Macaca fascicularis: one gene and its partners. The protein of the gene in region 7 interacts with the protein of the main gene of each other region in a pairwise test. Links are inferred from orthologs where the notes say so. Each region holds a gene or a part of one and is shown on either strand. Other genes may lie near its edges. The genes, in order: EWSR1, NT5C2, PSME3, RALYL, MEAF6, TBC1D22B and FXR2.

Region 1 (4,194 bases), on a different chromosome or scaffold from region 7:
CAACAATTGACAGCTCTTTATTGCATCCACTTCACGCAATCCAAAGCCAGCCTCACAATCCCTCGGGCGGCCTGAGAGAGCTTTGCTGAATCCATCTCTTCACGTTGGCTTATCTGTCTACCCCTCTATACGTTAGTGGACTACTTTCTTTCCTTTGTACACACTCGTAACTCAAAACCCTGAATCACCAAGAGGATCAAATCAACTGCCCAAAGGCTACCTATAATGAAAAAATAATTTGTTCATGGCAATCTTAAAGGCATTTTCAATAGCACTACAAGTCATACTCTCTGTGACATTAAAACTAAATGCAAATCATTTCTTCCACGTGGCATATACAAAATATACACAGCAATGAATCATTCAATATCAAATATTTTAATCCACGTTTTGTTAAGGTCTTTGAGAAATGATTCTAAATCACCGACATGTAAGTACAGTTTGCAAGACGACTTTTACACAATAGCAGTTATGTAAAACATAAAACTGGCAAAGCTGATATGGAACAACTAATGACCTCTTAACAGTGAGAAACCAAAGGATTCGGCCCTATACTAACTGGTGGGCTATGGAAGGTAGCAAATTTGTTTCATGAACTTAAGTTTATCTTCCTAGAGCACACAAACATCACTGGACCTCAAACAAGCTATTAGGTTGGTGCAAAAGTAATTGCGGTTTTTGTCACTAAAATGGCAAAACTACAATTACTTTTGCACCAACCTAATACAATTACAAACTGGTCAGATTATTCAACAACCGTGTTTGTTTTTAACCCCCAAAAGTGAGCCAAAGACTTCACTAAAAATCACTTCACTGTGATTGAGGGGTGGGGGTTCTAGACTGCAGCGAGTCTTTTCTACATGAGATACACACGAGGAGAGAAAACCTCTATTATTATTAACCCAAGGCAATGCTTTAACACTTTATAGCAGTCACTATGGAAGTTGCTTCACACTACCTGAGTTGAAGTCAGCATGGGACAAATTTGTGGAATGGTTATGCAGGAAGGTCAGAAAGGCTCAAAAGCTTAACAGGTCTAGCCTAACTTCTGTATTTTACAGGAAAGGAAACTAAGGCCCAGATTACTTATGTGACTCTCTGAAGGCCCCCCAGCCAGGCCTAATGTGTTTACTTTGTGTCAACAGAAACCACAACTGTAATTCTAATACAGTACAAGCACATGGTAGTTACTAGTGAACAAGGTTTGAACAAAGTTGACTGAAAAAAAGACATGTCCGGCCATGCAAAAATGTCAACGCACACGTTATGCCTTTTCAGGCTTTTGCAGAGGAGAAGAGGGTGGATAGGGAACCTAGGAAACCACTTTCCACCAGGAGGTTTAGCTGTGGTATTTCAGAGTCCTCTCTTCTACAGGCCTTCTTTGGTATCCCAGCAAGAACACCCAACACTTACCTGTTTACTGACCACACAGATGGGGTGAATTCTTAAACTGTCCTTAAGTTGCTGGATTCTGGACTCTAAAAACTCTGGAGGGTCCAGAGCTTTTCCCGTCTTCCCTCTCATCTTCTCCCACTGTCTCTAAGGCCTGGAATCAGGTGGCCTGAGAATACCCCCAGAGGCAAAAATGCTCCACCCTGCCAATTTCCGCGGGTTAGTGTACCCACAGCTTGCGAACTGCAGGTGGTGGCTAGGCGACACTCTTAAATGCTCCTTCCATCAATGACCACTCTACTCCCATTTAGGAGTTCCCATCCGGGGCTTGCTTTCAAGTGCCTTTAAGATCGCCTCTACTGGCCTCTTTTCCCTCACCTCTGTCGACCTACGAAATCAACAGGCCTGCCGGCCTAACGCAGGCGAATAAACGTGCGAGACCACTGCTGAAATATAATTCAAATGCAGGCTCGGCCTTTTGTTCCTCCTAGGTCAGAGAGGCCAGAAATACCTTCCTGGTAGCATTTCTCGTCTCTCGATCCAGGCTGGTCTTATTATACAACGGATGTCCCTCGGCGTTTGCAGAAAAAGGGCCCTGGGAAGCCACTTAATTGGTTTTGGGGGAGGGGAGGGCGTGAATTAATAAATAACGATAAAAATAGAGAAACCCAAAAAAGTGGCAAACTGGGGGCCCTGGAGGAGGGAAGCACATTCTGTCTAAAGCCCAAGAGGGCAGAAGTTCGGCTTGGGGCTGGAAGACGCCGAGGGGGCAGTTCGGCAGCGCCAGACGCCCCAGCCGACTGGGCCTTAAAGATGACGGGGCTCCCGCTCATAGGCCGGCACCCCTCGGCCCACAAATCCACGGTATCTTTCTTTGCTTTTTTCCCTGGTTTCTCGGGAAACCCTGAAAACGCGGAGGGAGGCCTCACAGGGATAGCAGCCTGCGGCCTCCCCGGCGGTTTCACAGTGACCGGCTCGAGGCCTGGCCAAATCCTCCGCTTCACGCAGGGCCTCGAAGGCCGCAGGCCCCGCCCACGTGGCGGGAGGCCCGGAGCGCAGGGCGCGAGGACCGCCACACAATGGAGGCCAAAGCGGGCCCCGCGCGCCACCGCCGCAGCGAGCCCCCTGCGCGCCGCGGGCGCCGGAAGATTCCAGAACCGGCCCGCCCGGTGGGGGGAGGGGAGAGGAACGCGGATCCCCGAGCTCGTCGGGTCGCGGCGGGTGCCTCAAACCCCTCTCGGCAACTCCACTCAGTCTTCCCAGCCAAGCCCAGAGACGAACGACCCCCAGTTTGGGCGTTCCGGCTACCGCCAGCGCGACCGCAGTTCCACCATACTCACCCGTGGACGCCATTTTCTCTCCTTCCTCCTCGTTCTCTCAACGTCCGTCTCCCTCTCGCTTTCCCTCTAGGCGCCGCACTGCGCAGGCGCAAATCCCGCAACCCCGGGCGCGACCATCAGGCCAGGCCACGGGGGTGGGGTCAGGAGGGATGAACCACCGCTTTCTCGTTCTTCGCGTGCGCAACCCTTGTCCCAATCCTCTCTAAAGAGCGCCCGACGTGACACTCGGGCCAAAATAGCACCTAAGGGGCCAGAGCGCCGGTGAGCGGGTCTCAGTGTGAAACCGGAGAGGCTCTCTTCACGAGGCTAGGTTGTTTGGAATGGTTCCGTCCGCTGGCTCTAGGGACCGTCGCTGAAGAGTCTGCCCTGCAGGCAGACGGAGATCGGCGGGAGGGCTGGGGGAAGGGACCCGGACTAGAACAACTGCTGACTAATCTGCGGGCCGCGGGGAATGGGTGGCGCGCCAGCCGGTCGGCCGGGGTCACGCGGCCGGGTGTGCGCGGAATGGATTCAGGGTTCCCCGATCTCGCCCGGGAGCTAGAGTCCCGACTCCCAGCCCGGGTCCCCGACCGGCCTTTCGGGGTTGCTGGGCGCGCTCTGCAGTGAGTACCCGGGACGCGTGGCCCGGGCCAGCGGGGAAGGGCCCCGAGGCCGGTCGGCTAGGTGGGAGGCCTCGAACGCCGTTTCTGGCCCCGAGACCCCGTCCCCGGTAACGGTCGAGGTGGAGCACGCCCTTTAATCATCCCTCATCCAATACCCTTGTTTCTACAGAAGGGGAAACTGAGGTCCAAGGAAATTGAGTATCTTTGCAAAGTCCCCAGCTGAGTTCGAACCAGACAGATCCTGGGACCCCCTACTCTATCCGCCACCCGGAAGAATCTTCGTCCTTGTCTTTCCATTCTGCCCTCCCGGCTTCCCAGTAAGGTAGGCAGGGCCTGGTGGTGCACTGCCCGTTTCATAGATTGAAGAAAGTGAGGTCGAGGGGGCTCAAGTCCCAGTTCCGAGTGTCCACGGGCAAGCCTTTCACCCTTGCTAAGGCGCCCAGAGCTGGGGAATGGTTGTGAGGTGAGGATACAGGAGGAGGTTTACGGTGGGTGTCTTGGCCCCAAACCCTGCCTCCAGGCAAGGCTGGCCCTGCCCACCTCTCTGGACCTCTAACCCCAGCCCCCTAGCTGGATACCCGGGTCTACGAAGGGCAGGGTTCACCTTCAAATCCCTCAGCAGGACCAGGAGTCAAGCTAGTGTCCTTTTTTCAGTGAACATATATAAAGCACTGGTTGTGTGCTGCGAATACCCTGGGAAAGGTGGGGTTTGATCAGAGGAGCCATGAGCTCAGACCACCTGCCTAGGGAGACAGACTGGTCAAGCTGTGCTCCTAAGGATAAGATCCCTGATGTTGGGGGGCCAGAGGAGGGGAAGGGATATTTGAGCTGGGCTTCCAAGAGTAAAATAGGAGTTTGCC
Region 2 (3,500 bases), on a different chromosome or scaffold from region 7:
AAAATTTGTGGTTAATAGTATTGTACCAATGTTAATTTCATACTTTTGATAATTGTACTGTGGCTATGTAAGATGTTAATATTAAGGGAAACTGGAGGAAGAATATATGGGAACTCTACTTTTCACAGCTTTTCTATAAGTCTAGAACTGTTTTAGAATAAAAATTAAACACACATAGTGCCCCAAGATGACATACTTCTTTCTTTTCCTACAGAGTAAAAGTAGCAGAATACAGTATTTTCTCAAAGTACTGTGGTAAAGATTTCTTGTTTTCAGTTTTTGTGCCTCCTATTTTCACCCACCTCCCTTATTTCAAGAAAGAACACTGAATGGGGAGGGTCCGGGAGAATTTGAGTGAAGGAATGAATCTATTTGCTATGAGAGAAGGAAAAGGTATTTTTCTTTCCAGGCACGTGAGGGGTTAGAATTTCCTCATTTAAGCGCACATGGGTGTGGGTATTTCTAGGTAGCATCTGCACATGTCATTTCATTCTGCAAGGTGTTTTATAAAACCATAGTATACACACTGAAAGCCATATCTGATACTCTCTATGTAGAGCATGTTAAGTCAGCTTCTCCTGATCTCTAACATACCTCACATACTTCAAGAAATCTCAAGTTAATTTAAGTTAATTTAAACTCTTTCCTGAGGCAGACATCATGAGGAAGGTAGATATATGTTGTTAACAGCCATATAACCCTGATAAATATGTGTATAATTTTACATGTAAATCTGTTATATACACTGTGTATACTACATATGTTAACACTTTATTCATTTGTAGTGATAATGTGGGATTTTAAGTGCAAAATTCCGAAATCAGCTAACCCTTAAAAGGTTCCCCCATTCCTATTGTGGACAGAAATCCAGTATATGACAACTCCAAAGTATAAAGATAAAAATGTGTTTATGTTTCACTCATTATCCAATTACATTTCAGGGAAAACTGCCTTTGCTTCTGAGCCGGATGAAGGAAGTAGGGAAAGTATTTCTTGCTACCAACAGTGACTATAAATATACAGATGTAAGTGCTTAATGTTTATATTTGTTTATTTATTCAGTGGAATTATTTTGGCCTAAAGAACTGTGAAGACAATGAGGAGGATAGAAGTTTATTAAGTGAAAGTAGTTTCTTGCCTTCTCATTTTCAAAGAGTAAAAAGGCAAAAATATACAGGATAATAACAGTGGTTCTTAAATTTTTCTAGAAATTTATTTTAACCATTTTCACGGATTATGATTGGCTACTTGAAAATTTTAATCTTGGGGTTATTTAAAATATTTGTAAAGATTAAAATGGCTTTTGTGTCTCCTTGGAGCATCATTTCTATAAACTTGAGCAGTCGCATCCCTTATTGATGTGTATATATGACTTCCCTGCTGTTGGAAGACCTGCAGCAATAGATGGTGCACAGATGTTTGGGCTCTTAGCCATCAAAATTTACTACATCTTTTTTTTTTTTTTTTGTGAGACAGAGTCTCACTCTGTCACGCAGGCTGGGGCGCAGTGGTGTGATCTCGGCTCACTGCAGCCTCTGCCTTCTGGGTTCAAGTGATTCTCCTGCCTCAGCCTCCCAAGTAGCTGGGATTACAATAGGTGCCTGCCACTGCGCCCGGCTAATTTTTTTTTGTATTTTTAGTAGAGATGGGGTTTTACCATCTTGGACAGGCTGGTCTTGAACTTCTGACTTCGTCATCCACCCACCTTGGCCTCCCATAGTGGCGGGATTACAGGCGTGAGCCACCGCGCCCAGCCCAAAATTTACTACCTCTTAAAAACAATTTTTTCCCATGATTAAAGCATGTGGAAAAACTGATCTAATTCCTTAACTTCATCTTACTTTGCTGAGACACAAGTTTATAGTACTAGCAAGAAGTTCCACTTCCCCCAATTTGCTGTACATATAAACTTGATTTAGACACCTGGTGATTTGTAGTAAATAGTCTTATATAAACCATTGGTTTGTTGACTTAGTTGGTCTAGGGATGGTAGTAGCAAAGCCAAAGTGATAGGTTATCTCTGTGTGAGTCATTAGTTTTCTCTGTACCCCTACCTCATATGCTCCTTACCTCCAAATGTGTGTTCAAAAACATCTTCCAGAGGAAGTATGTATCCTCCCTGAGAATGTCAGAAGCCTTTTTTTCTTTTTGGTATATGGTAAAGCATTAATTTCTGGCTTCCACTGCCATGATTTCATAAAATTTAGAGGAAACAAGAATGTGGTGAGTCCTATGTTGAAGAAGACATGTTTTGTGAAGAGCTTGTAATTTCTTTAGGTTATATGCCTTTTGCAAAAGTAGTATATGGACCTTATGGTAAATTTTTTTTTTTTTTTCCAGAAAATTATGACTTACCTGTTTGACTTCCCACATGGCCCCAAGGTATGTGACTCAGTAGACCATTGCTTTAGTAATAATGAATGCATTTAATCATTCTGGAATATTAAGGGGGAAAGAATTGGTCAGAACCCACCCAGAAAAGTCCTGCTTTTTAAGCCTATTGTCTAATCTTCATTAACATTAGAATCCAGGAGCTAGTAGAATTTAAAATCAAATTGCTAATTTAGAGTCCACAACTTGAATACTTAGTAGACAGAAATAAAAGGGATATTCATGTGATATTTAGTAGGATGGGATCAGAATAATTTTATGCCCAAGAAGTTCTATGCAGAATTAAGTTTGTGTGGCAGTGAAAGGAATTTTCAGGTTGTGGAAGATATTTGATTTAAACAGAAAATGTGTGTATATTCTTGACAACTTCTAGATTTTGTATTAGTTGTTGCTAAGTTTTTGCCAAGACAGCACTTAACCTTGATATTTAGCAAAGAAGTCTTCATTTCTGCAGAAGGGCTGCACTTAGGTTTAAGGAATACTCCTTGCAACTTAGTCACATACTTACAGAATTTTAGTCCTAGACTTTAGTGAATAAACATCAGCAAATTCGTTTTGAGAACACCTGAAATCACAGGGTGCAGTGTCTTTCAGGTTGGTCTTAAAAGGTTAATGCCAGGGTTCCATTTCAGGATAGTCATGATTTTAATGGGCATAACTCATTATTAGTATTGTGATTAGCTTACACTATGAGCCAAAACCCAGTGTATACCTAGAGCCATCATTCTGAGAATGTAACCAGTAAAATCTCCTAATAGTTCCATGTTAGTTTGTATACTTGAGCTCTGATGCTGATCTACCTCTCTCTTAATCTGTCCCTTGGGTATTGATTTGCATCTCTTCCTAGCTCTTTTGAGCTCCTTTTAGCAAATTTCAGCTGAGCACACTTTCATATATTAAAGTGCTGTAAAATAAGTTATTGTAGTTTAGTAGTAGATGAAACAATTTAATGTGTAGAATACAGTTATTTATTCTTTATACCTTGTCTGCTTACCAAAGGATATGGCTTATAATACATAGACACAGTACTTTTTTTTTTTGAGGTGGAGTCTCGCTCTGTTGCCAGGCTGGAGTGCAGTGGCACAATCTCGGCTCACTGCATCCTCCCT
Region 3 (4,175 bases), about 56 Mb from region 7:
GCGAGACTGTCTCAAAAAAACAAACAAACAAAAAAAAAAGGTTCTTGGGAGGCGAGGCGCGGTGGCTCATGCCTGTAATCCCAGCACTTTGGGAGGCCAAGGCACGTAGATTGCTTGAGCCCAGGAGCTCGAGACCAGCCTGGGCAACACAGGGAAACCCTGTCCCCACAAACAAATACAAAAACTAGCTGGACGTGATGGCACATGTGCCTGTAGTCCCAGCTACCTGGGAGGACGAGGTAGGAGGATCGCTTGAGTCGAGGAGTTTGAGGTTGCAGTGACCTGAGATTGTGCCACTGCACTCCAACCTGGGTGACAGAGTGAGACTCTGTCCCCCCTCAGAAAAAGAAAGAAAAGGTTCTTGCCACAAAGCAAATTATGCTGTAGTTGGGAAGACCAATCTTTCCAGAAATACAACATATTAAGTATTACAAGGAATAGGAAAAAAGAACCTATCAAAGCAGGGAAGATAATTAAGGGAATACGTACAAATCTTCTGGTTCCACAAAGGAACACATTATTCAGTCAACAACCATGCATTCAGCAATTGCTATGGACCAGGATCAACACTAGGTGCTGGGAATACAAAGATTAAGATAGTTCCTGCCGACCGACTACGGTGGCTCACGCCTGTAATCCCAGCACTTTGGGAGGCTGAGGCGGGTGGATCACCTGAGGTCAGGAGTTCGAGATCAGTCTGGACAACATGGTGAAACCCTGTCTCCACTAAAAATTTAAAAATTGGCTGGGCTTGGTGGCGCGCATCTGTAATCTCAGCTACATGGAGGCTGAGGTGGGAGAATCACTTGAAACCGGGAGGGGGAGGTTGCAGGAAGCTGAGATCGCGCAACTGCACCCCAGCCTAGGAAACAGAGTGAGACTGTCTCAAAAAAAAAAAAAAAAAAAAAAAAAGGTAGTTCTTGCCTTCCAGACGTACAAGTTCTGTCAATGAGGCGGTACTACAGACAACAATTCAGTATCATCAGTGTTATAGCAGCATGCGGACACATGACTGATAAGGACTAGCTGTTAAAGATGTACAGCAAAACAGCGATTGCAGTTACACAGCAAGAACTTCATATCCCATAACACTTATCAAGACACAGAAACAAAGTTAAGTCTTGTTCAGAACCATGGGAAAAACCAGGTAACCTGATGAAGCTAGTTCTCTCCTTTTTTTTTTTTTGAGACAGAGTCTCGCTCTGTTGCCCAGGCTGGAGTGCAGTGTCATTATCTCGGCTCACTATAAGCTCCGCCTCCTGGGTTCATGCCACTCTCCTGCCTCAGCCTCCCGAGTAGCTGGGACTACAGGCGCCCACAACCACGCCCAGCTAATTTTTTGTATTTTTAGTAGAGATGGGGTTTCACCATGTTAGCAAGGATGGTCTCCATCTCCTGACCTCGTGATCCAACCACCTGAGTCTCCCAAAGTGCTGGGATTACAGGTGTGAGCCACCGCGCCTGGCCAAAGCTAGTTCTCTTTTATTTGAAACTCACTCTAACACTGAGAGTAGCATTAGCACATTCACTTCACATCGTAAATGAAACTCAGGGTCTAAAAGGAATATACCGGAGGCCTCGTGCAGTGACTCATGCCTGTAATCCCAGCATTTTGGGAGGCTGAGGCGGGTGGATTACTTGAGCTCAGTGGTTTGAGACCAGCCTCGGCAACATGGTGAAACCCTGTCTCTACAAAAAATACAAAAATCAGCTGGGCATGGTGGCACACTCCTGTAGTATCAGCTACTTGGCGGGCTGAGGAGGGAGGGTCACTTAAGTTTGGGAGGTCCAGGCTGCAGTGAGCAGTGCTCACGCCACTACACTCCAGCTTGGGCAAAAAAAAGTGACGCCCTTTCTCAAAAATAAATAAATAAATAAGAAATAAAACAACTATACTAGAGTCATCATGTCTGTAACAGTCCTAGTTCCCAGATCCAAATCCCACTGTTGCCTCTGTACATCTTAAACTGACAAGGAAACAGAGGACAGAGGACCTACTGCTCAAGAACACAAAGATAAATATAGGACACTTACACCATCCAGTCCATCATGGCTATTGGTGAGAAGAATGGGGTCAGGGACTGGGAGATTCATGTCAGAGTGGATCTGAGTTAGGTCATGGATGTTTAAGATTGGTTCCTGAAAGACACCCACCCCAAAACATTAATCTTTTCAAGCTGAACAAAGAAGTATTTGATTGAAGAGCAAGAAATGAAAGCGCTTTTACAGTTTAAAAAAATAAAAAGAAGAATCAACACACAATTAGTTCCAGTTGACAGTAATACCAGGGCCAAAAAAATAGGGGAATTTGAGGAAAGAAAAGGGTCTCTCACCTTCAGAAAACTATCAAGTTCTAACAACTTCTTTGGGAAAAAATTTGCCACCAAGTCTTCTGCCTAAGGAGGAGGGAAAATACAGCTGAATTAATATCTGTGGGAAGGTCTCTCTCTCTCTCTCTACAGATATCTCCTCTTTGGGAAACTCTCAACCAACACTCATTTTTCTATTTATTTCACTCACCTCACTTGTGATGCGTTCCCTGAAAGAATCAACCTAAAATTAACAAAGAGAGCAATTCAGTACCTGGGGACAGAGGTAAGAGCAGGATAGAGAATCCCAAATCCAACTGTCTTTCCCTCACCTTGTAACTGTAATAAGAAGCTGAGAGGCCCCCAGACTGCAAATACTTTATTTTTTTGAGGATCCATTTTTCCATCTCAGGAGAAGAAAGCAGGGCTTTGAGGGCAGCACCTGCCTGTCTCCTCTCTCCTCTCCCCTCCCTCCCTCCTGTGTCTGAAGCTGTCTGAATTTGATAAGCAGACAAAAGACAGGTAGTTAGGAAAGATGTGAGCTCACAAACGTGCCAACCCCCACCCAGACCTGGCCTATGATACCAGGCAGGCCAGCCACCAAGGGCAGGGGCAGTGTCCAGGGACGTTGTTGGGCTGGGGGATTTCCAGCTGTCACTGGCCTAAAGCCCTGAGTCCAACACGTGTCCGCGGAGGTGTCCCCGGGACTCTCCATCATCAGACGCGGTACAGAAAGCCATCCTATATTTTCCCCTCCCGCGAAGCCGACCCCGGGAGTTGGGGGCTGGGCTGAGTTGAGCGGAAGCTCAGAGCTGGTATCCCCAGGGAGACAAAGACGACATGGGGAGTAGGAAGCCAGTCAGACTGCTGGGGGATCAAAGCGAGGGGCAAAAAGGCCGGACCGGTGCCGCTACCTTGAGCTTCACTTCCTGATCCACCTTCAGCAACGAGGCCATGGCCGGGCCGGGCCGTGTCCGATCCGCTGGACACCGGAGGCGCTGTGGACTCCAGGGAGGGGGCCGGAGGGACCTGAGAAATCTCGGCTGACCTCGGGACCCGGCCGCCCTCGCTGGCTCACTCACTGCTCGCTTGCTCCCTCCCTCCGTGCCGTCCGCCCGCCCGCCGGCAGCCTGCTGCCTGGTCGCTCTCTCGCTCGCCCTCCCGGCTTTCGCCGCTCACGCCGGAAACTGCGTCACAGCCAATCGCCGAGACTCCTGCGAGGCTGTGCACGTGCGCTGCGCAGCCGCGATGAGACTCGGGTTTGGATGCTCCTCCCGTTGGGTAGGGGTGAAGTAAAAAGGAGAGCTGTGGGGAATGGTGCGCTGAAAACTGAGCCTCCGAAAGACTCGGAAACGGTGCGACCCTCTCTGTTGGCCCGGAACTCGCCTTCACCGAAGGGACCTCAGTCGCTGCAGTCCCGGGGACAGCGCCGTCGCGCCCCAGTGACGTAGGCTCGGGGAAGTCGGGGACCCGGGTACTGGGTTCGGGGTGTAGTCCCTGATTCCCGCTGCCTCTGCCCGTTTGCCAGGCTCAAGTGTTTAGGCTAGAGCGAAAAACACAAGTGCGGTTGTACCAAGCTTTCCTGGTACATTTCCCTGCCAACTGACTGTCGTAAGCTTCCGGACCTCAAAGATCAACTACCTAATGGGCAAATTGATGCCCAGAGTAGGGCAAGACTTGTCCAAGGCGTTTCCAGTACATCCTGAGCCAGGACCCAGATCTCCTAACTTCTATGGCAGTGCTGTATCTATTTGCCTAATGGAAGCTTAAGACTATACCTCTTCATACACCCATTCATTCGATCTCTCTCTCGACATTGGATATTTCATTCAATAAAATGGGCCAGGGCACTGTCTCAGATTCTAG
Region 4 (4,095 bases), on a different chromosome or scaffold from region 7:
AAACGCGCTTCATTCCTTCTTCCACCGCCATACTGTATTTTATACTAAATCTCATTTTTATTACAACATTTTACTCCCGCTCGGTGAGTACCTTCTCAGTGGCATTCTTGTCCTATTCTTTTTTTTGTCCTTTTTTTTTGTTTTTTGTTTTTTGTTTTTGTTTTTGTTTTTTTCTTTTTTTCCACTTCTTTGATTATTGTTTATATTTGGGAAAGCTGGAGGAGCATGATTTTGAGCCTTTTCCTGAATCCAAGTTTTTCTAGCATGCGATCGTTCTGTAGACAAGGCGCTGTGTCTCGGAGTCCGCGGCGACCGTGCCCGCTGGGAGCGTCTCCCAAGTCCAGCAAAATGTGCAACTGGTTTTATGGAAAAAGCGATGTGAAGTATGGTGCCTATTTTTTTCCTTTGTAAAAATAAAAAGCATGTTTCTAACTCTTTTTTTTGCATACTCTTTTTCTGATAACATTTTTGTATAGGTGGGATTTTACGGCAGTGTTTACAAGTTTGTGGTCTTGCAATACTGGTGCAAACCACTGAGCAAAGACATTAATTTTATATTTTTGTGCCCTTTTTGGAAGCCGGTGAGAACAAATTCGTTTTTTTCCCTCCTGTTTTTGATACCCATTGATAACATGAAACTTTTCTTACAGCTGGTGACTGGGATCATTTTTAAGCAAAATACTTTTTTCCTCCTTTAAATTAACTATGACTTTTGCACATTTGACTTTTTTAAAAAAACCGAGATAATTTTATGATAGATATCCTGATATCTATATCTATATTGTCCCTTATTTCTCCCCCTTCCCTCCCCGTAAATCAATTTTCAAATGATGGCAGTGGAAGGTTTTTCTGGAAAAAAAAAAAAAAAAAAAAAAAAGAAGTGCGGTTTGGTTTCCTTGTCAACGGAGGATGAAGTGAACAGCTGAGCAGCTCGCAGAGAGCAGGTACTTGGTCCCCTTGGAGGCGTTTCCCGGGTGTGCAGTGGCAACACTGGTCCTAGCAAAGAAATGTGTGAGTGTGAGTGTGTGTGTGTGTGTGTGTGTCTGTGTTTGCGCGCGCGTATCTCCGGGCAGTGTCCGCGCCGGAGGTGGGGAGAGCCGCGCCGGGAGCCAGGGAAAACCAAAGTCAGTTCCCGGCTTCAGGATCGTTTTCTAGATGTGCACAAAATACAGTCCCCTCCCCCCACCCCCCACCGTGAGCTGCGCCCAGGTCATCTCCCGGCTGGGCGGGTGGTGTCTGCGCTGCGGTCGGCGCCGGCCGGGCACTAGGTGGCCAGCGGGCCCTGTAAGTTCTCCGAGGGCCACTTGCACAGCAGGAGGGGCGAGGGCCGTGTACGTGGCGCGGGCCGTCGGGCCGGCTAGAGGGGACCCCCAGAGCACCCGGGAGATGGGGGAAGAAGCGGCAGAGACCGCATCTTCCGGAGGGACTGGCTCCAGGCCACGGGGGCCGGAGCTCGAGACATTTCCAGAGCCTTGAGGATGGCACCGGCCCCCGCACGCTCAACTCCTGCTCCTCCTCTTCGCAATGAGTAAACGACGCAGTAGGTCTTTCCCAGCCTATTTTGCTTTTCCAAAGGGCTTTGCTTTCTTAGTGGTGCTGTCTTTGGATCTTTTCTTTATGCCTGTTGTGTTGCGTTGGTTTTAAGTGCCTGCTGGTGTCGTCTTCCAGGGAATGGGGAAATAGTTTCTTATAAGATGGTCACTTGGGTTTAATGTTGAGGACGACGCTGTTAGTTTGCAGTAATGACCCTACAGCTGTAAGGTATAAAAATGCCCCTTATTTAAATTTTATTAGAGGGAGAGTTTTCCCTCTTTTTAACCACCTGATACTGGCTCTAAAGGTTTTCCCCTGAGAACTGTGTACAGGGCAGGAGTGAGGGGTTGGTGATAGAGGTGATGATTTCGTGTGTTGGTAGCATTGAAATACTCAGTGTTGAATGTATTCTATTTTATGATTATCCTGTTACATGTTTTCAATATAATTTAGCATTACTTTTCAGAGATGGACCAGTTCGCAATAAAAAGCCTTTTCTGTATTTAACACTGTGACAGAATCTGCTGGAAATTTTTCTGTCCAAATAAATTTCGTAAAGGCATACATCTTAAAATCTGGAGAGTCACCATTATTTAAATACTTTGATTTTCTTACCTTTCCCCCCCTTAAATGAAAAGCTTAGCTTTAAATTATCATGTGTATGTAGTTTGGATTCTGTAAAATAAACATAAGGCAAATGAAACAACTTTTTACCTCTCGGATGAAGTTTTCTTCTGGGTAACTACAGAAATAAAAACTGACTCCAACATACAGAGGGGCCCATGACAAAGGGGTTTATAACATACACTGGCTTTTTCAAGCAAATATTTCACTGTAACCTCAGTTTGTGGAATGAAAAGTTTTATGCCTTATTTTTTACTCTTTGTGGTCAAAAAGTAAGGAGTGCAAAGGGCCATTTATCTGTAGAAGATTAAAAGTTAGTGTAATATCTGGAAAGCTATATATATTTTTTATTCACAACTCATGCAAGTATCTCAAAAGTCTTTGGACATTTCATTGTATGTGAGGTATTTTGTTCTCACAGTAGCTTTTCCCTGTGAAGGAAATCCTCTTGCGTTTATATAAAGAAGATAGTTTATGTCACTGTCTGTGGACACCATATTTGATATCTTGATGTGTATAGTTCTAAGATTTGAAGCCAATATGATGGCACTAAGCCTGAAATTAGGATTTTCTTATTTTGTATAGTGAGCTAATTACTAAAATATATGGTTCAAACAGCTAACATATGGTTCAAATAGCTAACATAAAACATTTGAAAAGCCATTTGCAACATTCTGTGATTTTAAAAATCATTTAAATTATAACAATGTATGTACATAGAAGTGCTTATTTATTAAAAAGCAAGACAATTTGTGTGTATAATATATTTTTGTATGTTTTATGTGTTGTATGTCGTTTAGTTCTTTTAAGAGAGAGAGAGACAGAGCAAGCAAGCAAGAAAGAGCTTGAGTGATCGAACCTGCATTTTCATTAAGAGTATCAGTTGCTGCCCTAAGGTAGAGGTAGTTTGTGTCTTAAGATTGGACAAAACACTAGCTGTATTGTATGATCTTTCCCAATGAGATTGAAACCATTAATGGGACCAAAGACGATTTTAATGTGAGGACAGAGAGGTAGTTGGGCTTTAATTTCTGTAACTTAAGACCGTTCTAAGAACCTTTGGTTATCTATGTTTTCATTTATTTAAGATTCATTTTTGATTATATTGTATACTTGTATTACATTTGTGCCTATTACATTCAAAATTTTCAAATTTCTTCCTGTGTGAATCATACTTGGAATTCTACAACTCTTAAACTGGCCACCTGTTTAGTTTTTGATTTAAAATTGTTGAAGGTAGTATCCTACATTTAGCACCGCCTACTGGCTTCTCGTGGAAAAAATACATTTTTTCATTCGCCAAGAAACCCACAGGGATTTACATCAATTTAATTGTGCAGATCTTTTCAACTGCTTACTGAGAGAGAAGGAGGGAAAAAAAGTTTGTATGCTGTAAGGAGAGAGGGTTTCCAGGGTAAAGGTAGGGACCGAGAGAAAGAAGACCCACAAATTAAATTGGCATTGGATCACTATCTGACCTCAAACATTTTACTGTCTCAACTGTGACAAAGAAATAATCACAAAATGAAAACCTATTAAATTTTCTAGGACTTTCTATGGGATAATAAAATGTGGGTATTGTTTAAAATCTTGGATTACTAAATTAATTTTACAGTGTCTTTCTCAATCGATATAAAGAAAGAAAGTTCTAGTTGGAATTCTGTCTTGAGTGTGTGGTCTGTCGAATAATATTTAAATGAATAACTTTTCATCATTGAAGATTAACAATTAATTATTTTTATATGTATTTTTCATGGACATAAACAATCACGTAGCACCCTAATTTTTTTCTTAACATGCATCAAATAGTCACACTGTGTTGTTGTATATACAAGGGGGAAAAGTTCCAAACATACAATTATAAAGACACATCCTTAGCCATAATAGATGCGTTACCTTTCTTAAAAATGATAGTTGGTTTATTTTCTCTAATTTGTA
Region 5 (4,015 bases), on a different chromosome or scaffold from region 7:
ATGCAGCACAGAGGGACAAAAAGATAGAAAATATAGACGGTAGGTTAAAAATAAAGGTTTCTTATGTTCGAGTTCCAGAAAGAGAGAGAATATGAGACAGGCATCTGAAGAAAAATGACTGCGATTTCCCAAAACTGGTGGAAGATACCAACCCACAGATTATAGAAATCCAAAGACTTCCAAGCAAGAAACAAAACAAAAAGAAAAAATATCCCACTTAGACTTATGATAGCGAAATTGCAGAAGAGTGAAAGATGGAGAGCTGAGGAGGGAGAAATCAACAGGGGCCAAGTGAAAACAACGTCTACACCTTGGACTTAACGATAAAAGCGAATTCGTACTTGCAGAGTCATTGGCACCTGCCAAACCCCTTACACACATTAGCTGATTTACTCCTCACAGCAACTGTATTAAGTAGATTCTATCACTGCTTTCATTTTACAGATGAGGGAGTTGAGATTTGGTTATTTACCCAAAGGGGCACACTTTATCGATGTAGCGATAGGATTTTGAACAAGGTAGTTCTCGCTCCAGTTTTGTGCCCTTAACCACTACACATACTTGTTTCTCCAAAGGGCAATGGGAAAATGGGAAGCCACTGAAAGGCTTTAAACAGGGGAGTGATAACATTTGTTTCTGGAAGATTCCGGCACCACTGTGGATAGTGGATTAAATGGGGCTAAAGGTGGAAATAAAGAAGCTGTTGGAATAACGTAGCCCCAAACAGGGAGGGCCTGAATGAACTAAGAAGGTGGCAAAAGGCGCAGGCACAAGCAAATGGATTCGCGAGCTCTTCCGGAGTCGAATCCACAGGGCTTGACCTGGTATCGCGTTTTACTCCGGGTGCAGAGTGAGGAAAACCGGGTTTCTGACGCAGGCAATTGCGGTGGATAGTGAAAGTCATTCACTGAAGTGGACTGAGGCGGGACGCACAGGAGACTCGGAGGCCTGAGGACGAGCTAGGCTTTGGACACGGTAGATTTGTGCCGTCTGTAAAGCCCGCGGCCAGCCGAGGGGCAGGAAACGGCGTAAAGGGCAGAGCAGAAGCCGACTCTCTGGACCTCTCCGAGAAGGATCGTCCAGAGTCCCGGCCGCAGAGCACCTCTGCGCGGCGCTGCACGCGTCTCCGGAAGCCGCGCGCGCAGGCGCAGTGCGGGGGGCGCCCCCTGGCGGCGCAGGGACCGCCCCCAACCTCGCGCCGCCGCCGCCCGCCTCAGCCCAACATGGCGATGCACAACAAGGCGGCGCCGCCGCAGATCCCGGACACCCGGCGGGAGCTGGCGGAGCTCGTGAAGCGGAAGCAGGAGTTGGCGGTGAGGGGCTAGGACCGGGGTTGCCCGGCATGGGGCTCCGCGCCCGCCCCGCCTCCAGGCCCCAAGCCCGGCTGCGCCAGGCCGTTCGTTACTCCGGGGGCGCGGCGCGGCGGGCTGTGTGCTCGGCGGCCTGAGGCCGGGTGCGCATTCTGCGGCCCGCCGGCGGTTCAGCTTCCCGGCTGTGCGAATCCGGAGCCGGGAGGGAGCTGGGAGCGCGGGAGGGGGAGGGGCAGCGGCAGCCGCAGGAGGGGGCGTGGAGGGAGGACGGTGCCGGGGCTCGGGACTCGGGGAGAGGGCGCTAGGAAGGGCGAGGCGGGCGAGTCCGTGATCTTTGCGGGGTGGGGGTGGGGTAGGAGGCTAGTGTGGGAGGGGGACCGAGTCACCCTGTCTGGACTTTGGAGGATGGTGGGGAGCGTGTTCTTTTTGGTACTAGTAGTAGATCCGTTGAATGGAGGCTTTTGATAGACAGGGTTGTGATGTGTTTGGGAATATCTAGAAGGTGACAGGCGAGGGAGAAGAACACATTCTGGAGAATTCGGAATTGTGACAGGCACCCAAGGCCCAATGCACCCTGGTGGCTAAGCTCTTCCTGCCCTCACGTCTCGGCTTGGGCACCCCGGAGGCCCCTCTCACCTGAAGCTGCCCTTCCAGGTTTCCATAGCAACTGGCAGCCCGGTGCCGGCGGCCTCTCTGAGCCTGCGGGGAGGGGAGCGAGTTGACGCTGAAAGGCTGCTCACCCTTCCCTCTCCTGGTAGCGATACCTTTTGTGCGTGGGAGTGGATATCGCACAAGTTCTGCGTTAGCCTGGGTTCTTGACTCCTGGTTTCCGTGAATCCTCTAAAGTATATGCAAAATTTCGCGTGTGTGTGTATTTTTCTGGGGACATGCTTTATACATTCAGAGGTCCATCACACCCAAAGGTCTAGACTGTCTTAGTCCTAAACGGCTGCTCCTCCCCATATCATCCATCTCTCCACAGGGTGATTTAGTGTGGACAAGCTTGCGTTTACAAATCTAATATCAGGATTTCATTTTGGTCAGACTTAAGTGTTTGCATTTAAAAGGCATTATTCATGTCCTTGTTTTTCATCTCTCAGGAAACACTGGCAAACTTGGAGCGACAGATCTATGCTTTTGAGGGAAGCTACCTGGAAGACACTCAGATGTATGGCAATATTATTCGTGGCTGGGATCGGTATCTGACCAACCAAAAGTGAGTGTCGAAAGCCTGTAGTGTTCCTATTGTGTTCCTATTGTGTGTGTTTGTAGGACTGTAGGCTCTTAGTAGCAAGTTTGCTAGAGGCAGTAGTAAAGTGGTGGTGTGGTCTGGACTTGAACTCTTGGACTCTGGCTCAGGCACTGCCTCACTGAATAATCTTAGACAAAGCTCACGTCTGTAAAATAGCAAAAGTTGGGCCTTTGGCACAGGGTTGTGTGAGGCTTAAATACAGCATATAACAATATCTTTATACAACATCACTCTATTAAATTTTTTACACATTTTAATCAGTCGTGAGTTCTACCCTCACAGTATTTTTCTTTTCTTTTTTTCTTTTTCCTCCTGAGTAGCTGGGATTACAGGCGCATGCCACCATGGCTGGCTAATTTTTTTATTTTTAGTAGAGACGAGGTTTCTCCATGTTGGCCCAGCTGGTCTTGAACTCCTGACCTCAGGTGATCTGCTGCCTTGGCCTCCCAAAGTGCTGGGATTATAGGTGTGAGCCACCATGCCTGGCCACTTTTCTTTTTTCTAAGAGACAGGGTCTCATGCTGTTGTCCAGGCTGGAGTGCAGTAGCACAATCTTAGCTCACTGCAGCCTCAAACTCCCGGGCTGAAATGATCCTCCCACCTCAGCCTCTCAATTAGCTGGGACTACAGGCACACAATACTGCACCTGACTAATTAAAAACATTTTTTTTTTTTTGTAGAAGTGGGGTCTCACTTTGTTGCCCAGGCAGGCCTGGAACTCCTGGTTTCAAGCAGTCCTCCTGCCTCAGGTTCTCAAAGTGTTGGAATTAAAGGGGTGAGCCACCACGCCCAACTGACCCTCACAATTTTTGCCATACCTGTGTGCCAGCTGTACCACTGCTTGCTTAGTAATATTTTTAAAAAATTTCTAAACTTTTGGATTATCTTCAAGTTATAGAAAAATGGGAAGAATAGTATATGAACACTTGATACTGTCCTACCTGTATTCAGATTGTTAATGTGTTGTGACATTTGCTTTCTCTTACTCTCTATAATATTAATATAAGCACACACCTGTATTTACATTTCACGTTTTTAAATTGTGAAATAATTATAGATTCATAGGGAGTTGGCAGAATGGTCTTTTGTAGTCTTCATCTAGTTTTCCCCAATAGGTGTGTTGTTTTTTTTTTTTTTTTTTTTTTTTTTTTTTTTTTTTTTTTGAGACGGAGTCTCACGCTGTTGCCCAGGCTGGAGTGCAGTGGCGCGATCTCGGCTCACTGCAAGCTCCGCCTCCCGGGTTCCCGCCATTCTCCTGCCTCAGCCTCCTGAGTAGCTGGGACTACAGGCGCCCGCCACCGCGCCTGGCTAATTTTTTGTATTTTTAGTAGAGACGGGGTTTCACTGTGGTCTCGATCTCCTGACCTTGTGATCCGCCCGCCTCGGCCTCCCAAAGTGCTGGGATTACAGGCTTGAGCCACCGCGCCCGGCCAATAGGTGTGTTTTATATAAC
Region 6 (3,500 bases), on a different chromosome or scaffold from region 7:
CCCAATGACTGTCCGGGAGAAAACCCGCCTAGAAAAATTCCGTCAGCTTCTCTCCAGCCACAACACTGACTTAGGTGAGTCCCTGTGAGCCCAGGCAAGGTAGGAGCTTTTGGTGACTGGAATTCTCAGAGACCTGGAAGCTACTGCTCTTTATTCTTCCTTCTTTTACTTTTCTAGCTTCTCCTGACCTGGTGCCCATTGCAGTGACATGCAGGTATTAAGTCAGACATATGTTACTAGAGATTATGGACCAAATTAGGTGGGACTGGTTTCTGTGACCTGTAGACCCTAGTGCAACTATTCTGACTTTGATCTCCTCTATCTCATGGTGACTCTTGCTGAAATCTACACCCACTGGTCTTTCTCTTCCCCTCTAACTTTCATCTCTGAGCTGACAGGACTGCTACTGCAAGGCCATGTCCTTGGCACTTGGCTGCTCAGGGCTGTTTTGGGCTTTTCCCTGTGCTTATGGGTAGCAAGTGGTGGTGGTGGTCTTACATGAATGGAAGGAGACATCAGGCAGTGCTGGTTGCGGTTTGCTTTAGAGCATTTGTGGAGAGTTCACCTAACAAGGCTGTTTTCTGTTTACAGATGAACTGAGGAAGTGTAGCTGGCCAGGGGTTCCCAGGGAGGTTCGACCTGTAACCTGGAGACTCCTGTCGGTGAGTTCTACCTACTGTGTAGAGAAGTGTGAGCCTCACACAGCCCTTCTTGCCTGATGAGGTTAGTCTGGACACATTGGTCTTAACTCCATAGACTTCTCTAGTCCTACTGGATATGACAGAACTATGGGACTGTAGTCCTATTTCTGTGCATAAAGAAACACTTTCTTGAGAGTTTATTCACACACATGTAGAGGTACACAGACTTGTACCAATAGTCATGGTCTCACGTTATTAACAGCGAGGAAGAAGAATAGAGTGAGTGAGATAGGGTGACCCCAGCACTTGCTTTGAGCAAGCTCAAACATTCCCTGTGCTTTACTCCTGTTTCAGTTGGAGTAACCAAAAGTTGAAACCCACTTTGATCTGTAAAGAGTTGATAAATGGGCCTCCCTTGGAAGCCTTACTAGTCCTGCTTTCACCAAGTACAGAGCACTGTGCCAGCCGCTACGATAGGAACACTTGGGTTTCCTGAGCCTGTAAAATTCATTCATTCATCTAGTGAGGATTGATTGAGGGTCTGCTGTTTGCCAGGCATAGTGCCAGATGCTCTGAGCAGATACAAAAATGAATAAACCACAGTCCCTGCTCTCCAGGCACTCACTGTGGAATGCATTACATAAATGTTTTCAAGAAGAAGGGTCTGTCTCCTGACTGCTCGCCCCACCTCTACTCTTGCAACCATGTAATCATTGCCTCTGCCACTTCTAATCAGTTTGAATGCTATTCAGAGTAGATTTGGTGAGAACGGAAGGGGAACAGAAAATATAAGAATGAAAGTGGGATCTAGACCAAGGATAAGAATGAAAGTTGGCCTGGAGCTTTGGCTAGGCTGGGGGCTGCTGCCAGAAGTTCTGTCTGAGTGTTGTAGCTGTTATGTCACGGATTCCATTCAGCTGCTTCCTAAGCTGGTAATTCTGAAAGTTACACTGGAAAAGAATGTAACTGGCACCAACTTACTTGGCACACTGCTGAGATGTGCTGTAGAGGTTGCTATATCCCTGCATTTCTCAGAAGTATGGCCCTGGACACACGCAGCCCTCCAAGGCCATGACTTGGGTCCAGCTCCCTCCCACTGACCTACATTCACTCCTGTACTGTGCCAGCTCTGGGAGCTGAGGAGTGCTCACCAGTGGCTCAAGCTTCAGCACAGTACAGGGCCAAGGGAGTAAATAATCCTGGGAAAGCTGGCCTTGCTTCATCTGCTCACATGTGGATCTCATTCAATGAGAAGAGGGCAAAAAATGGGTGGCCAGAACCAAGAAGGGATTTACCCTTGGCAGTTTTCCTTCTTGATAGTTTCCAAACCACTGCATAGATTAAAATAAAAATTAAGGATTTATCCAACCATTGTCTTTCCCTATCTGACCAGCAGTCTTGTCTATAGGGCTATCTCCCAGCAAACACTGAGAGGAGAAAGTTGACCCTGCAGCGGAAGCGGGAGGAATATTTTGGCTTCATTGAACAGTATTATGACTCTCGAAATGAGGAACATCACCAGGATACCTACAGACAGGTATAGTCATCACCTGCTGCCTCTTTGCTTACCAGTCATACACTTTAGGTGTGTCTCATGGTAGTGCTCTCAGGGTACAGGCTTTCCAAGTCCTCAGGCTGTGGTATGTTGGTTAGGAGTTAAATTTATCCTCAAAACTGTTTCCCCTCTTTTCATTCAGCAGCTCTGATTTTAGCCATTTTAAATAGACAGACTTTTTTGGCACTAGTCAGTGCGGTGCTTCTCAAACTTTAATGTACATACAAATCACCTAGGATTTTGATACGATCTCACCTAGAGATTATGAGAAAATGCAGATTCTGATTTAGCGGGTCTCGGGTAAAACCTGAAGTTCTAATGTGCTTCCTTGCAATGCTGCTGCTGCTGGTCCACCAACCACGCTATGAGTAGTAAGAGTTATCGAGTATGGAGAGGAAAGACAAGCTCACTTAGCAGTGGTCCAGTCCCTCTGGACTATGACATCCGTATGTCTTCCTGGCAGCTGCAGTGCTGTTTCGGCCTCTGTGACTGTCTGTAGGAGCTGTAGCTATCAGTAGTCTTGTCAGGGAGTCTTCCGTCTGCCCATAATGGTCCTCATGGTCTGCAGAAAGGTCTGCTCCCAACATCACACATGGAGGGAGGAGAAGAGTAGGCCAGGGGTTGCAGAAAGTGAAAGGTGGGCAGCTATCTACAACAAGCCTCAAGAACTGAAGTAGCCTCTGCTGCTGCTGCTGACACATTCTTTTGCATAGCTAGACTGGGCATTGGGAAATCCCCGAATTGAAATGGACATAGTGACGTCTTAGGTAACAGAAGTAAGAACTTTCAGCTTCAGTTACTGAAGGCCAACTGCTTTTGGTCCTTCCCCACTTTTTTTTTTTTGAGATGGAGTCTTGCTTTGTGGTCCGGGCTGGAGTGCAGTGGCGTGATCTTGGCTTACTGCAGCCTCCGCCTCCTGGGTTCAAGTGATTCTCCTGCCTCTCAGCTTCCCGAGTAGCTAGGATTATAGGCATGCGCCACCAGGCCCGGCTAATATTTTGTTTATTTTTTTTGAGACGGAGTCTTGTTTTGTCACCTAGGCTGGAGTGCAGTGGTGCAATCTCGGCTCACACCAGTCTCTGTCACCCAGGTTCCACCAATTCTCCTGCCTCAGCCTCCTGGGTAGCTGGGATTACAGGCGCACACCACCATACCCAGCTAATTTTTGTAATTTTAGTAGAGACAGGGTTTTGCCATGTTGGCCAGGCTGGTCTCGAACTCCTGACCTCAGGTGATCCACCCACCTCAGCCTCCCAAAGTGCTGGGATTACAGGTGTGAGCCACCGCACCCAGCCCTAATTTGT
Region 7 (3,976 bases):
GATCCGCCCGCCAGTGATCTCGGCCTCCCAAAGCGCTGGGATTACAGGCGTGAGCCACCGCGCCCGGCCTAATTTTTGTAGTTTTAATAGAAACGGGGTTTCGCCCTGTTGAGGCTGGTCTCGAACTTGGGGGCTCAAGTGATCCACACGCCTGGGCCTCCTAAAGTGCTGGGATTACAGGAGTGAGCCACAGCGCCCCCGGCCGAAACTATTCTACTATTCTTAAAACTTTCTTTCGTTTCTTTCTTTTTTTTTTTGAGACGGAGGCTTGCTCTGTCGCCCAGGCTGGAGTGCAATGGCGCGATCTCGGCTCTCTGTAACTTCTACCTCCCAGGTTCAAGTGATTCTCCTGCCTCAGCCTCCCGAGTATCTGGGATTACAGGCGCGTGCTACCACGCCCGACTAATTTTTATGTTTTATTAGATGCGGGGGTGGGGTGGTTCACCATATTGGCCACGCTGGTCTCGAACTCCTGACCTCAGGTGATCCGAGGACCTCAGGTGATCCACCCGCCTTGGCCTCCCAGAGTGCTGGCATTACAGGCGTGAGCCACCGCGCCTGGCCAAAACTTTCATTGTATCACAATCTCTTCAAGGCAAGAGCTATGACTTAAATCTACTACAGCACAGTTACAGATTCTTAAAAGATAGGCGATGCATGCGCGCAGACAGTAAAGCTCAGCGCGTGCGCACCGAGCACCTTTTTCCTTGCGGCGACTTCTCTTCTTTTTTTTTTTGGAGCGTGCGCACCAAGAAAGACAAAGGTGGGGAAAGTGACCAAGCAGTCGTTCAGGCGCATGCCCATCCCTAACTTGTCCGAGCCCGGTGGGGCCAGCGGCGGCGGCGTGGGTGTGGCCTGAGCGCTGTGTGACTGTGCGGCCGCCGCCCAATCGGACTGAGCGAGCCCGGCCCCTCCCTCCCTCTGATTGGTTGGTTCTCAGGGTTGTGGGGCGCGGAAAGGAAGAGACGGGGCTGCTGGGCGGTGGGGCGGTGGAGAAAGAAGGCTAATTTTGTTCTGCGCAAGCGCGAGCAAGCGACCAGGAGGGGGCGTGAGAGAGTGAAAGGGAATGTGGAAGCCCCGATGCGCTGGCTAGCGCTAGCTGGGGCTCTAACCTTGACGCCTGCGCCGTGGCCCTCGGGGCCCCGCGCGCAGCGGGCGGGTGCCCGGTGCGCCTGCGCAGTAGGAGGCGGTGGCAGGGGGAGGTGGAGGCTGTGGAGCGGCAGCGGCAGCAGCGGGTCCCGGGACTGAGGCAGCAGCGGGGGCGGCGGCAGGCGGAAGCTGAGGTGACGAAGGCAGCGGCGGCGGCGGCCGTTTCCCTCACGGTGGCGGAGACCAAGGCGGCGGCGGCGGACGGGGAGCGGCCCGGCCCCGGCCCCCTGCTCGTTGGCTGTGGCAGGGCCGCCGTGGGGCCGGCCCGGCTCCCGCCCCCCGCGGCTCCCCCTCCGGCTCCTCCTCCGGGGAGACGCCGGGGGCCTGGCCCGGCCCGCACTCAGACTGCTGCTGCAGCCGCCGCCGGGGGAGTCGGAGGCGGTGGCGGCGCCATGGGCGGCCTGGCCTCTGGGGGGGATGTGGAGCCGGGACTGCCCGTCGAGGTGCGCGGCTCCAACGGGGCCTTCTACAAGGTGAGACGGCGCGCCGACTGGGGACGCCGGTCCTTAGCCCCCTCCCCCGGCCGGAGCAGGAACGCGTGGGGCGGGATCGAGCTTCTGGAGCTGAGTCCTGGCCCTTAGAATCTTAGACCCTTGCTCCCACCCGCAGCCTTCCCTGAGAGACCTCTTGGAGTGAACCTGTTCCTTTTATTTTTGAGCCCTTTAATGCACCTGCTTCTACCCCCATCTCAGGGAGAATGAACTTCAGGCCATTATTGTCCCTGGCTTGGCGCTCCCCGCTCCCCAGGAGAGACCCCTTTACCCAGCTTCTAATTGACTGTTTCCGTTGTCTGATGGAAGACATACCTTAGACCTTAATCACATCTTCCCCACGGTCCAGGCACATGGAGAATTGTCTTTCTTCTGCACGGTCCCCTTGGGAAGGCCCCCTCTGTCCCATATCGGATCCTTTCATCTTCCTCAGAGAGGCCTCTGCCTACTGACTCTGGAACACTCACCCCACTTTCAGCTTATATTCCGGTTCCCAAGCCAAGGAGAAATGGTCAGATCCATTTACGACGTTTGGCATCTTTGACCTCAGGAACCCTGGGTTGGATCAGTCAAGTTGCTTCTCAGCCAGCCATAAGGTGGCATCTTTCGCAAGTCTTTCACCCCACCACACCTTGATCTCAAGGCCCACTGGTCTACCATTCTACTCAGAATGGATTTGAGGTCTCACTTAGACCTCAGATACCTTCAGGTCATTCTTAGAGTTTCTTCGTCTTGAGGCATGTGAGCTTCATAGTCATGATCTCTAAAAGGATCTCTAAAAGGAAGCTCATGGGGTTCCCTTCTGTTTTTCTTAAGATTTCCACTTCTTGAAGACTCTTGGCCAACTATCCCAGTTCGGGAATCTGACAACCTTTTTTGGAAGAAGGGATCATCTTTCAAAGACCTTTCCTTATTTGACCTCCCCCTTTGCCCAGGATTTGGTTCCTTAGAACTCCTTATAATACCACCTTCCTTATCTGCTCTGAATCCATTTTCTAGGACATTTTTTTCCCATTTGGATTAAGCCAGAGAGAACCCTTTCTTGCCTCCCAAGAGTTTTTCTTCGACTGTTGCTATTCTGAACCTCTTTTGGATTTGATGCCTGGAATTGTCCCAGAGACTCTCCTGATTTCTGTCTCATTCTTTGATTTCACCTTGGGGAGCTGTAGAAGAGATACCTTCCCATGGCATTACTTGTTAAGAGTAGATCCCCCTTCCCCCTTTCCTTCTGTTCCCCTCAGGCCTTTCCCCCCCACAGTAGCCCTCTCTAGTTTCTCATGCCCTTGGAAGTGTCTTTCTTTGACTCCTTCCCTAAGTCATATTTTCTGTAACTGTAGAGGGTCTTGTAATTTCCCTTGGGTGGTTTCTGCCTCTACTTCAGTTGCTAAGTTCATTGTAGTCTTTTTTTTTTTTTTTGAGACGGAGTCTGGCTCTGTCACCCAGGCTGGAGTGCAGTGGCACGATCTGGGCTCACTGCAAGCTCCGCCTCCCAGGTTTACGCCATTGTCCTGTCTCAGCCTCCTGAGTAGCTGTGACTACAGGCACACACCACCACGCCCGGCTAGTTTTTTGTATTTTTAGTAGAGACGAGGTTTCACCGTGTTAGCCAGGATGGTCTTGATCTCCTGACCTTGTGATCCGCCCGCCTCAGCCTCCCAAAGTGCTGGGATTACAGGCGTGAGCCACCGCGCCATTGTAGTCATTTTTTACTTACTCTTCATACTTACCCATTTTTGCCTTACTTCCCTCATCAGATTTCTTTCTGTGCGGTGACTTTGGGTACCCATGTCTAACTTACTGTCTCAATTCAAGTTTTTGGCTTTTTCTCCTAATACTTCTGTATTCCTGTGTAATCCCCAGGGATCACCTAATTCCCTGTCTAGCTGAAGGAAGCTCCCTGCTGATCTCTTTTGTCATTTTCTGCATACTTGCCTAACTCTTGGGACTTTTTCTTCTAGCCTGCCTCCATAGCATTTCTGTTTTTTTTGGCAAAAGTCTCTAATTCCTTTCTGCTTTTGATAGAGCACATTTATCTCTCATATCCTTTTCCCCAAACTTGCACTACCTTTGTTGAAATACGCCTCCTAAAGTGGCCCTCCCTGTTTCCCTCGGTATCTTTTCCTTCATCTGGGTCCTTACCACCCCAAAATTCTGAGTTCCAAGAAAAGTCATTCTTAAGTTGAGTCCAAGATCAAGATATGATGTTTGCTTTGTTCTAGGAAGCACAGGAGCCCTGCACAGCTGGGAAAGATTGGTATCCAGTTCAAATGAACTGTATGAGATGGCTGGGAAGGGACACGTTTTCTGTTCTACATATAAGTGTCCAGCAGAAAGTC

The links.
Region 1: the proteins of FXR2 (region 7) and EWSR1 interact in a two-hybrid assay, tested with the Homo sapiens proteins (2 studies listed by BioGRID and IntAct). The link is inferred for Macaca fascicularis from reciprocal best matches to the Homo sapiens genes FXR2 and EWSR1.
Region 2: the proteins of FXR2 (region 7) and NT5C2 interact in binary tests that used the Homo sapiens proteins (3 or more experiments, as listed by UniProt). The two-hybrid records come from large-scale screens. The link is inferred for Macaca fascicularis from reciprocal best matches to the Homo sapiens genes FXR2 and NT5C2.
Region 3: the proteins of FXR2 (region 7) and PSME3 interact in a two-hybrid assay, tested with the Homo sapiens proteins (2 studies listed by BioGRID and IntAct). The link is inferred for Macaca fascicularis from reciprocal best matches to the Homo sapiens genes FXR2 and PSME3.
Region 4: the proteins of FXR2 (region 7) and RALYL interact in a two-hybrid assay, tested with the Homo sapiens proteins (2 studies listed by BioGRID and IntAct). The link is inferred for Macaca fascicularis from reciprocal best matches to the Homo sapiens genes FXR2 and RALYL.
Region 5: the proteins of FXR2 (region 7) and MEAF6 interact in binary tests that used the Homo sapiens proteins (3 or more experiments, as listed by UniProt). The two-hybrid records come from large-scale screens. The link is inferred for Macaca fascicularis from reciprocal best matches to the Homo sapiens genes FXR2 and MEAF6.
Region 6: the proteins of FXR2 (region 7) and TBC1D22B interact in binary tests that used the Homo sapiens proteins (3 or more experiments, as listed by UniProt). The link is inferred for Macaca fascicularis from reciprocal best matches to the Homo sapiens genes FXR2 and TBC1D22B.

The regions. Positions count from the first base shown.
Region 1 is NC_088384.1:22,402,433-22,406,626, forward strand, and holds the start of EWSR1 (RNA-binding protein EWS), read right to left. Parts: upstream 2,801-4,194; 5' UTR 2,746-2,800; coding exon 2,733-2,745; intron 1-2,732. UniProt on the Homo sapiens protein: Binds to ssRNA containing the consensus sequence 5'-AGGUAA-3'. Might normally function as a transcriptional repressor. EWS-fusion-proteins (EFPS) may play a role in the tumorigenic process.
Region 2 is NC_088383.1:112,133,141-112,136,640, reverse strand, and holds part of NT5C2 (cytosolic purine 5'-nucleotidase), read left to right. Parts: intron 1-941; coding exon 942-1,025; intron 1,026-2,340; coding exon 2,341-2,382; intron 2,383-3,500. UniProt on the Homo sapiens protein: Broad specificity cytosolic 5'-nucleotidase that catalyzes the dephosphorylation of 6-hydroxypurine nucleoside 5'-monophosphates.
Region 3 is NC_088390.1:63,889,481-63,893,655, reverse strand, and holds the start of PSME3 (proteasome activator complex subunit 3), read right to left. Parts: upstream 2,801-4,175; 5' UTR 2,717-2,800; coding exon 2,642-2,716; intron 2,554-2,641; coding exon 2,521-2,553; intron 2,397-2,520; coding exon 2,334-2,396; intron 2,140-2,333; coding exon 2,035-2,139; intron 1-2,034. UniProt on the Homo sapiens protein: Subunit of the 11S REG-gamma (also called PA28-gamma) proteasome regulator, a doughnut-shaped homoheptamer which associates with the proteasome. 11S REG-gamma activates the trypsin-like catalytic subunit of the proteasome but inhibits the chymotrypsin-like and postglutamyl-preferring (PGPH) subunits.
Region 4 is NC_088382.1:94,051,792-94,055,886, forward strand, and holds the start of RALYL (RNA-binding Raly-like protein), read left to right. Parts: upstream 1-1,295; 5' UTR 1,296-1,524; coding exon 1,525-1,540; intron 1,541-4,095.
Region 5 is NC_088375.1:197,413,592-197,417,606, forward strand, and holds the start of MEAF6 (chromatin modification-related protein MEAF6), read left to right. Parts: upstream 1-1,215; 5' UTR 1,216-1,223; coding exon 1,224-1,313; intron 1,314-2,410; coding exon 2,411-2,526; intron 2,527-4,015.
Region 6 is NC_088378.1:134,372,258-134,375,757, reverse strand, and holds part of TBC1D22B (TBC1 domain family member 22B), read left to right. Parts: coding exon 1-74; intron 75-591; coding exon 592-662; intron 663-2,049; coding exon 2,050-2,178; intron 2,179-3,500. UniProt on the Homo sapiens protein: May act as a GTPase-activating protein for Rab family protein(s).
Region 7 is NC_088390.1:7,664,414-7,668,389, reverse strand, and holds the start of FXR2 (RNA-binding protein FXR2), read left to right. Parts: upstream 1-1,176; 5' UTR 1,177-1,541; coding exon 1,542-1,622; intron 1,623-3,976. UniProt on the Homo sapiens protein: mRNA-binding protein that acts as a regulator of mRNAs translation and/or stability, and which is required for adult hippocampal neurogenesis. Specifically binds to AU-rich elements (AREs) in the 3'-UTR of target mRNAs.